2 linked regions of the Neodiprion lecontei genome follow. The protein of the gene in region 1 interacts with the protein of each later gene in a biochemical or structural test. Links are inferred from orthologs where the notes say so. Each region holds a gene or a part of one and is shown on either strand. Other genes may lie near its edges.

The links.
Region 2: of the proteins of serine/threonine-protein kinase greatwall (region 1) and alpha-endosulfine, one has a biochemical effect on the other in vitro, tested with the Drosophila melanogaster proteins (2 studies listed by BioGRID). The link is inferred for Neodiprion lecontei from reciprocal best matches to the Drosophila melanogaster genes gwl and endos.

What each region holds. Positions count from the first base shown.
Region 1 is NC_060260.1:38,953,446-38,957,377, reverse strand, and holds the start of serine/threonine-protein kinase greatwall, read right to left. Parts: upstream 2,936-3,932; 5' UTR 2,749-2,935; coding exon 2,557-2,748; intron 1,990-2,556; coding exon 24-1,989; intron 1-23.
Region 2 is NC_060266.1:17,445,260-17,449,191, forward strand, and holds the start of alpha-endosulfine, read right to left. Parts: upstream 2,625-3,932; 5' UTR 2,252-2,624; coding exon 2,198-2,251; intron 2,049-2,197; coding exon 1,929-2,048; intron 1-1,928.

The sequences.
Region 1 (3,932 bases):
ATAATATGAAATAAAGGACATACCTTGAAAATAACAGGTATCATAATTATCATCTGGCTGTGGTATAAACGGTGGCGTCGCACTATGTGGTTTATCCCATGGAAAATCACTGAATAGAGTCATAGAACGAACCTCGACTGCTGAAGGTCTGGTTAATGGATCGAGAGTTAGCAGAGCATCGATGGCCTCCATTGCGGAAGCTGATAAGGCCTCATCCTCTGTTGGCCATGGAACGTCCCGAGCCAAAATATTGGTAAACACCGCCTGCGGTGTCTCGTCGTTGAAGGGTGGAATTCCAGTGCAGAATTCGTATAGGCAAACCCCAAGTGCCCACCAATCGACAGCTGAGCTGTGACCCTGCCTTAGAAGTAATTCAGGTGCCAAGTAATCTGGTGTGCCAAGAATACGGTCGTCTGACCGCGACGACAACTTTCCACCTCTCCTTACCGACTTTGGAGTTCTGTATGGCGTATGACTACCCACAGATGTCCCTGGGGTTTTAATAGGTGAGATACCTGGATGGTCGTCATCTGTACCAAGCTGTATGTCAGGTGCAGACCGAGACGTTGATTGTGGCAACTCAAACCTGGTTGTCTTGATTAAAATTGGTTTATCGCTCTCGCTTGCCTGCCGATGTTCTTCCAATTTAGGGTGCCGATGAGTATGATTATGATTGTGGTTCTGGAGGTGATCCCTGCCATTGCCATTGTCGTTGGATTCGTCATCTTGAGTTCGTCTCTGCTTTATGGAGGAGACTGGAGTACTGAATGCGACGCCTCCTCCGCTGCTGCCCGTCCCTTCGCCATTCGTTACCTTAGCAGTAGTAATTGCTGGATGTGGGGAGACGGCACGGGAAAATGACGTCCCTCGATTCTTCCTTTTGGGTGTCGAGTTGACCTCTAGACCAAGAAGATGAATTTCCTTGGTCAATCCTGTTGCTGCAGTAGCAGTGTTCCTCTTTCGCTTTGTTCCTCGGGTAAACGAGATCTGGCTACTGCTCAAAGGACTTGTGTGACTGAGTTGCTTATTAGGCCAATCAGCCTCTAGCGTTGAATCATCGTCTTCAGTCTCTCCCTTGCTGCTATTCACTTTAACAACCGAACTTGAAGCTTCACAGGTGTGAAAACTGCTACCAGTGCTGTTATCATCGCTCTCGCCTAGCCCCTTGGAGCTTGTACTGCTGTCCGTATTATTACCGTTGGCTAACCGAACATCTTCTGCAGATTGAAATAGTGTGATTCCAGAAACTTGGCAGTAGTCACCCGATGCCCCAATCGAAGATGTGAATGAACCGCAACATCGTCCACTAGTTTTTGAACTGTTATTACGAAGAATTTGGATAAGGTTGGTGGCTGGATTACTCCTCTGACTCGAATCCGAAATATTTGCCTCAAGGCTCGACTTCTGGCCTGATCCAAACGACAAGTGAGAGGTAAGCGACAGTAGCTGGCCAGGAGTTCTGGTAAGGAGACTAGGTGTGCAATTGACAAGATCAGATATCTCGAGGTCCCTCTGCATTGCAGGTATTCGACTAAGTCCAAAGTCCGTTAGTTTTACATGACCCTCACGGGACAGCAGCATATTGTCCGGCTTCAGATCTCTGTGCACGATACCATGGGAGTGAAGGTACTCCAGAGCAAGGCAGACTTCTGCCGTGTAAAATGCTGCCATGGATTCTTCCATGTAACCGCAATTCCCCAATAAACTCTTGAGGTCTCCACCCACCATGTACTCCATCACCAAATAAACACTGCTGATCGATTGCAGGGAATAAAACAGCTGAACGCAGTATGGGCTGCGTGTCAAAGCCAAAGCGTTTCTCTCAATAACTACCTGTGATGCCATGTTCTTATTTATCATTTCATTTTTCTTCATTACTTTTATGGCATACATTTGCTCTGGATTTGTCTTTTTGTAGCCTAAAAAGACTTTTCCAAATGCACCTCTACTGATTGGCTTGACAATTTTAAAATCCTGTATTTCCGGCACCTGAAATGAAATATTTTTCATAGTAGTTAGTGGTCTGTAATTAATATTTTTCATTGCGTCGAATGGAAATGCATTGAATATTAACTGGACTACAGGATGTACATAAGGATGTGGGTAATCGCAGAAGCAGTCCGATAAATCATTATCCCAAGTCTAGAGCAGTGGACAGTAGGAAAATAAATAGAGTCAAACGAAAATCAGCAAAAGGACAGCAACAAGCAGATTATATAGCAAAACTAATTTATAATAAGATCCCAATAAATTTAAGAGATAGCAGCATTCAGTCTTGGAAAACTGGCATAAAAAAATGAATATTTGATGTGTGATAAAGTATTGACACCTTATACTTAACATATTTACTACAAGATATGCAAATTGAAGATAACTAGACAATAATATAATTTAACAGTGAAGAGGATGAATAAACTCGAAGCTATAAACTATAACAAATTGTTTTCAACAAACTTTAGTTCCAATAATCCCTTAACATTAATTTAGTAACTATTTTTATATGGATACTTATTTAACTAGACCGTATGAGGTTTGATACATTCTTATGAATTTCACCTTGGCTGTGCAATTGACTATTTTTCCGATAGTATTGAAGATTGAATTATCTATTTGCTTGACATCTGACTGCGGCGTGAGCTCTCCAGGCCGTAACACCGATTCTTCGAGGGTACAGGAGCTCGAGGTTTCTGTGGTATCAATTTCGTCGCTGAACGGTTGACCCGGCATCTCTGTCGTCGAGTTTTCCATTTATTTACTCGGAAATGTACCGTAAAATAGGTCCAGCTACTGTTTGAATGACGTTAACTTGGTAATGTAACATATGTGGCATTTCTATGGAAAGAAAGCAAATCCTGACATCCTAACTGTGACAGTCAAGGTTCAATCATGACTAGAAGACACATCAAATTATCAACATAGTTCCGCAATTTGTTGATTTAACATCTGGAATACGCGGGTCAACGCGACGATCGGTTACAACCATAGAAGCATGAGGATAGAGTGTGACAGGCGGCTCTGAACGTACCCGCCCTTACAGAAAGAGATGTCTTGAAACCTGCCTTTATCCGTAGACTGGCGCATGCGCAGTCAAGAAAGTAACTTGTATATCGTCGTGTCTAACTAGTCAGCTGCGAAGGCAGACCATTTGATAATGTCTCGTTTTGTGAGACTCATACTTCGGAGGTTCTATTCTTTCGTGAACATAATTAAGATTTCTTACGTCCATGTGTGTGAAATATCCTATGAAGGATGTGTATGAAAACAGCCTTCGGTACGAGGGGCCGACCGAATATCAAATGTAGTCGATCAAGTTATCCATAACGTAGCTAAAAGTGAAAATTTAAACGAAGATATTAAACGAAGATATAAATCACGATTCCACAACTAATTACAAGCCATCCATGCATGTCATTGCTATTTGCTAAAAGGACCAACCACGATTACACAGGTCTGCAAGCAAAAAATTGCGCAGGCATTATTACACCATTTCTTATAGATTTTTACGCTCTGAAACCGGAAAAAACACTCAAAAAAATCCATCACGTCCAGTTTTTTCTTAAACTCGTCTTTGCAGTTTCAATTAGACTGAAACTCTCGTTTAACACGAAATCTAGAGACTAAAGAATAAATATAAACAGGAACAAAGAAAATGAAAAGCGGAAACCTGTTCAGAGAACTATCAAAAAGAAGAAGGAAGGGTTTCATAAGGAAAAAGAATGAACACGGAATGTTAAGTACATTTAAAAGAAGTATTGTTCAGGTGCATTGAAATGAAATGGTGGTTTTTTCATTATTCTTGTATGCTTTTGTATGCTAATACGTTGTATTTTGCAAAGATGGAGTGGAATGGAAGTAACTTTTGGATTTAGCACACTCGAAAACATAACATTTACCAAAAACATCACATGCAGCTGAAATAAACTATCTTTTTG
Region 2 (3,932 bases), on another chromosome or scaffold:
AAAAAAACTGATTTATCTTTTTAGAGAACATGTAATTGATCATAGAGTCGCAAAATTATTTACGTTTACCATGAACAATTATGTGTACAGAGAACTCTAGTCCGTAAATTGCAGGAAAAAAACCTGTGAGTTGATTGTCATCCCTTTAATAAAAAAAATCATTTTCTCTTGAACAAAAAAGCATTTCACAAAAGCATTTCACTAAGAGATTTTCACTAAAAATAAATTTAAGAATCAAAACAAAAATTTAGATAACAGAAATCAAATTCACAAAATTAGTCTATCCCCTGCACGGTGATACTGCTAAATCGTGACCGATTTAGTAATATTGTCAACGGAATTATGATTTTTTTGACAGATTTCTCAGAAATTTTTTACTGCAAATAACTTTACATAATCTCGACAAGCCTTGAAAACGGTGTCTGGCAGAAATATGTAACTTCTTGCAGCCTACGGATACATAACTCTAGAAAACAATTGGATTGTGAGATCCGATCGATCGTTTTTACATAGAACAGTCCACTGTGCATATCATTATCATTTGAATATATTTAAGCTAGACAGCGCACAGGAATTTGTATCCATTTCAAGGTTATAAACCTAACTTCTCTAAATGTTTAATTTACATTTATTGAATTTACATATTTTAGTTGGTCTTGTAAAAAAAAAACAAAAACTGGTGGTTTCGGTACAAATACAATTTTTACCAACCGTGAGCTACTAGATACGTTTTTAAGACCAAATCGCTTTTGTTCTGAGAAAACTTTGTTTAATCCCAGCTCTAAAAAATCCTGGATTAATTCTGCCTGCAGTCATTGATTGCATAACATGGACTAAAAAATAAAATGAAGCTCATTGTAAAGATATCTTGCACAGAATATGTTGGTACGAAGTAAAAAATTTGAATTCTAAATTGAAAACGTTTGGACTACTACACAGATACAACTGACTGCATGCGGAATTTTGAAATCTAGAATATAATTTTTTTTTAAATAATGTGTAATTAAAAGTTTTATAAGCGAATAGAAAGCACAGAACTGAAGTGAATGAACATCCTATAATAAAATAGTAAACTTGTTCCATAAATTGAACAGAATTCAAGACTATAAACATATCTATTACAAGATTTAAAACTTATGAAAGCCTGCTTATGATTCCTAGAGTCTGATGAATGCTTTTGGCAATAAGTACTAAGTATAGAATTGCATATTGAATATATCTCTGTGACGGAACAACCAATATTTATAGCTGCTTTCTGCTTTGCTCAGCGTTTCTGGCAACCTTATTGTTTAAAGTCAAATCTGAGAATGTAGAGAAATACAGTAAGATAAGAGCAATAAGAATAGATAACAATTACCGCCACTCACAATAAGAGATTGTTAAGAAGATTCACTAATTACGCTCAATTTTTGATGGCCAACAGCCTCCGTTAAAACAATCATAAGATTTGATAGGAAGGGAGCGTTGGCTACGATATGGCAAGTATAAAACTCACATAGGACAACGTAAAAAATATCCCAAGTATACAGTACTTTGGTATATTTAAATAGGATAATTCTAAACAATTTGTTACTTGTAATTTTATAAAAGTACTAGCTCCCAATGAGATATGAAAAAAGTTTGGTTATTAGGCTACACTGCCTTATTTTTATCGACATTGGTACATTTGGTTGTTACGTCTGCCTGCCTTCCTTATGGAGGGGCATTTATCGTCCACGTCCGTCTATTCTCGCTTAAAATTGGACTCAACTATTGCAGGTATTAAATTAAATAATCTCAGAAAAATTGTCTGTGATTATCTTTGCAAGTTTTATATATTTCTCTATTTTGGGGGAAAAGGCTATTACATGGCTTGAATCATGAAGATGAAACAAATATATGTCACATTATATAGTTGAGAATCTAGGTCATTTTGTAGTTATACTCACTCCTTTGGCTAATCTTTTCTGAAGAAACGCAGAATGACCGCTAATGGGGCGTCCGCCGGTATTTGGGAATTTGGCCCTAAGCTTGGCTTCTTCTATTTTTTCAATGTCATTTGACGACAACTGCAACAAGAACAAAGTGTCAATTACATATACCTATCCATCAACAGAATGGTAAAAGTTAACGGTTCAGCGATTAACATCAATACAGATTATGCTATATATATAATGTGACTGTGTACAAATTTTATTAAGAGTGAAGACGAACTTACCTCGATTGATTGAGTTGTTTCGTCTGTTTGTTCATCTTTCTGATTGTCGCACATCCTCGATTGTTTGTATATGTATGTTTACGTATAATTTATGTATTAACGCGGAGATGAAAAATATAAACGATGGAAAATAATATTTCGCGAAATATGATCCGTAATGTCGAAAAGAAGAACCAAACCTGTATAGTTAGTTCAACCAGCTTTTCGACTTCGGTATTGCGAGGTTACGAACGGTCGAAAGCCGATTAATATAAGGTTACTTTCGAATGGGGTTTTGGCTTTTATCACGTTAATTCACACAGGCAAGCTACGTTTTGACTCGGACAAATCTTCGAACTATTTATGAAGGCCAATGGATCAACAAATTCAGAAGTCAGTTACCAGTTCGGAACCACTGGTTAAGAGAGCGGGTTTAATTTGCCCGTATAAAGCCATGTTCACAGCGCATCGATTTCATGCATATCGTATAAGAAAGCAACCAATCAATGACAAGAGTTTGGGATATTCCTCTTGGAACCATCCACCCGATTGGTTGATCGTATTCATGACGGTGTAACATCCGACCGGAACGTTCGTATGTTTTATCGACTATTATTACTGCATATCACTTTTATCAACTAACCAAACTCGAAGTACGAGAATCTTGTAACCATAAGGTATTAAAACAACTGTCTAACTATTTGGAATATCCCTAGATGGAAACAATTATGACATTCACTAACCAAAGCTCAAAAACCATGTTACGAGATCGTTGCACTACAAAGAGCTATAATATTATTATACATTATTATATATCACTATATTAACACCATAATTAACTAACACCATTATATCCAATTATTATATAACACACAACAATGCCATTTGTGCATTCGAAACTGAGAGCTACACAATAAGCAACTTACGCTATACCATATAACCTGGAGTATAGAGGACTGTGAAACCATAGATAAATGTATAACCAATATAATGTAAAGATAGCACTGTTGCAATAATCCATTAAATCAGAGACTGTAAAACCTTCAAAACCGTGCATACCAATTATCCAGCATGAATCATACTTTGCTCCGTAACGCCGTATTGTAGGCAACACGCGCAGCGTTTTTGAAGACAATGCAGATCTCCAATGAGGAGCCATACAGAGCTCCATCTAGAGAACACATTAGGAAACTTAACGACGAAACGATTGAAGGTAAATCAACTCACATAAACTCAAAGATGCATACGTGGCAACGCCCAGTAACAGGCAACCAACAAACATGAGAAAAATGTTCTAAAAGCTTCTAAGCCGATTTATATCGATATAAGAATTTATAATTACAGAAGAGAATTATGTACGAAAGCACACATGTAAACCTGCTCTAAAACTACGAATTATCAAATTGTTAAATACCCTAAATTTGTTAAGATAGTTATAACACAAACACCTAAGAATATTCGCAGCAGCGCGATCCTAATAATGTTAAGCAAATAGCTACTATGTCTCATAAACAATCGCTGTTGTACTCCAGGTGAATAACGACAGTAATCAATTATAATACATATGCAATTTTATATATTTACACGCTATCAAACTAACAAAACGACAAGTAACCGATATGACAATCTTAATATATAAACTTTGTAACGAACAGGATAGTAAGAATATTTAAGAAGTAAACTACGACTAGAATTCAGCGCATCGTGACCCCGAAAATGCACACGGCACTAACGTACACCATGAAACATGGATCAC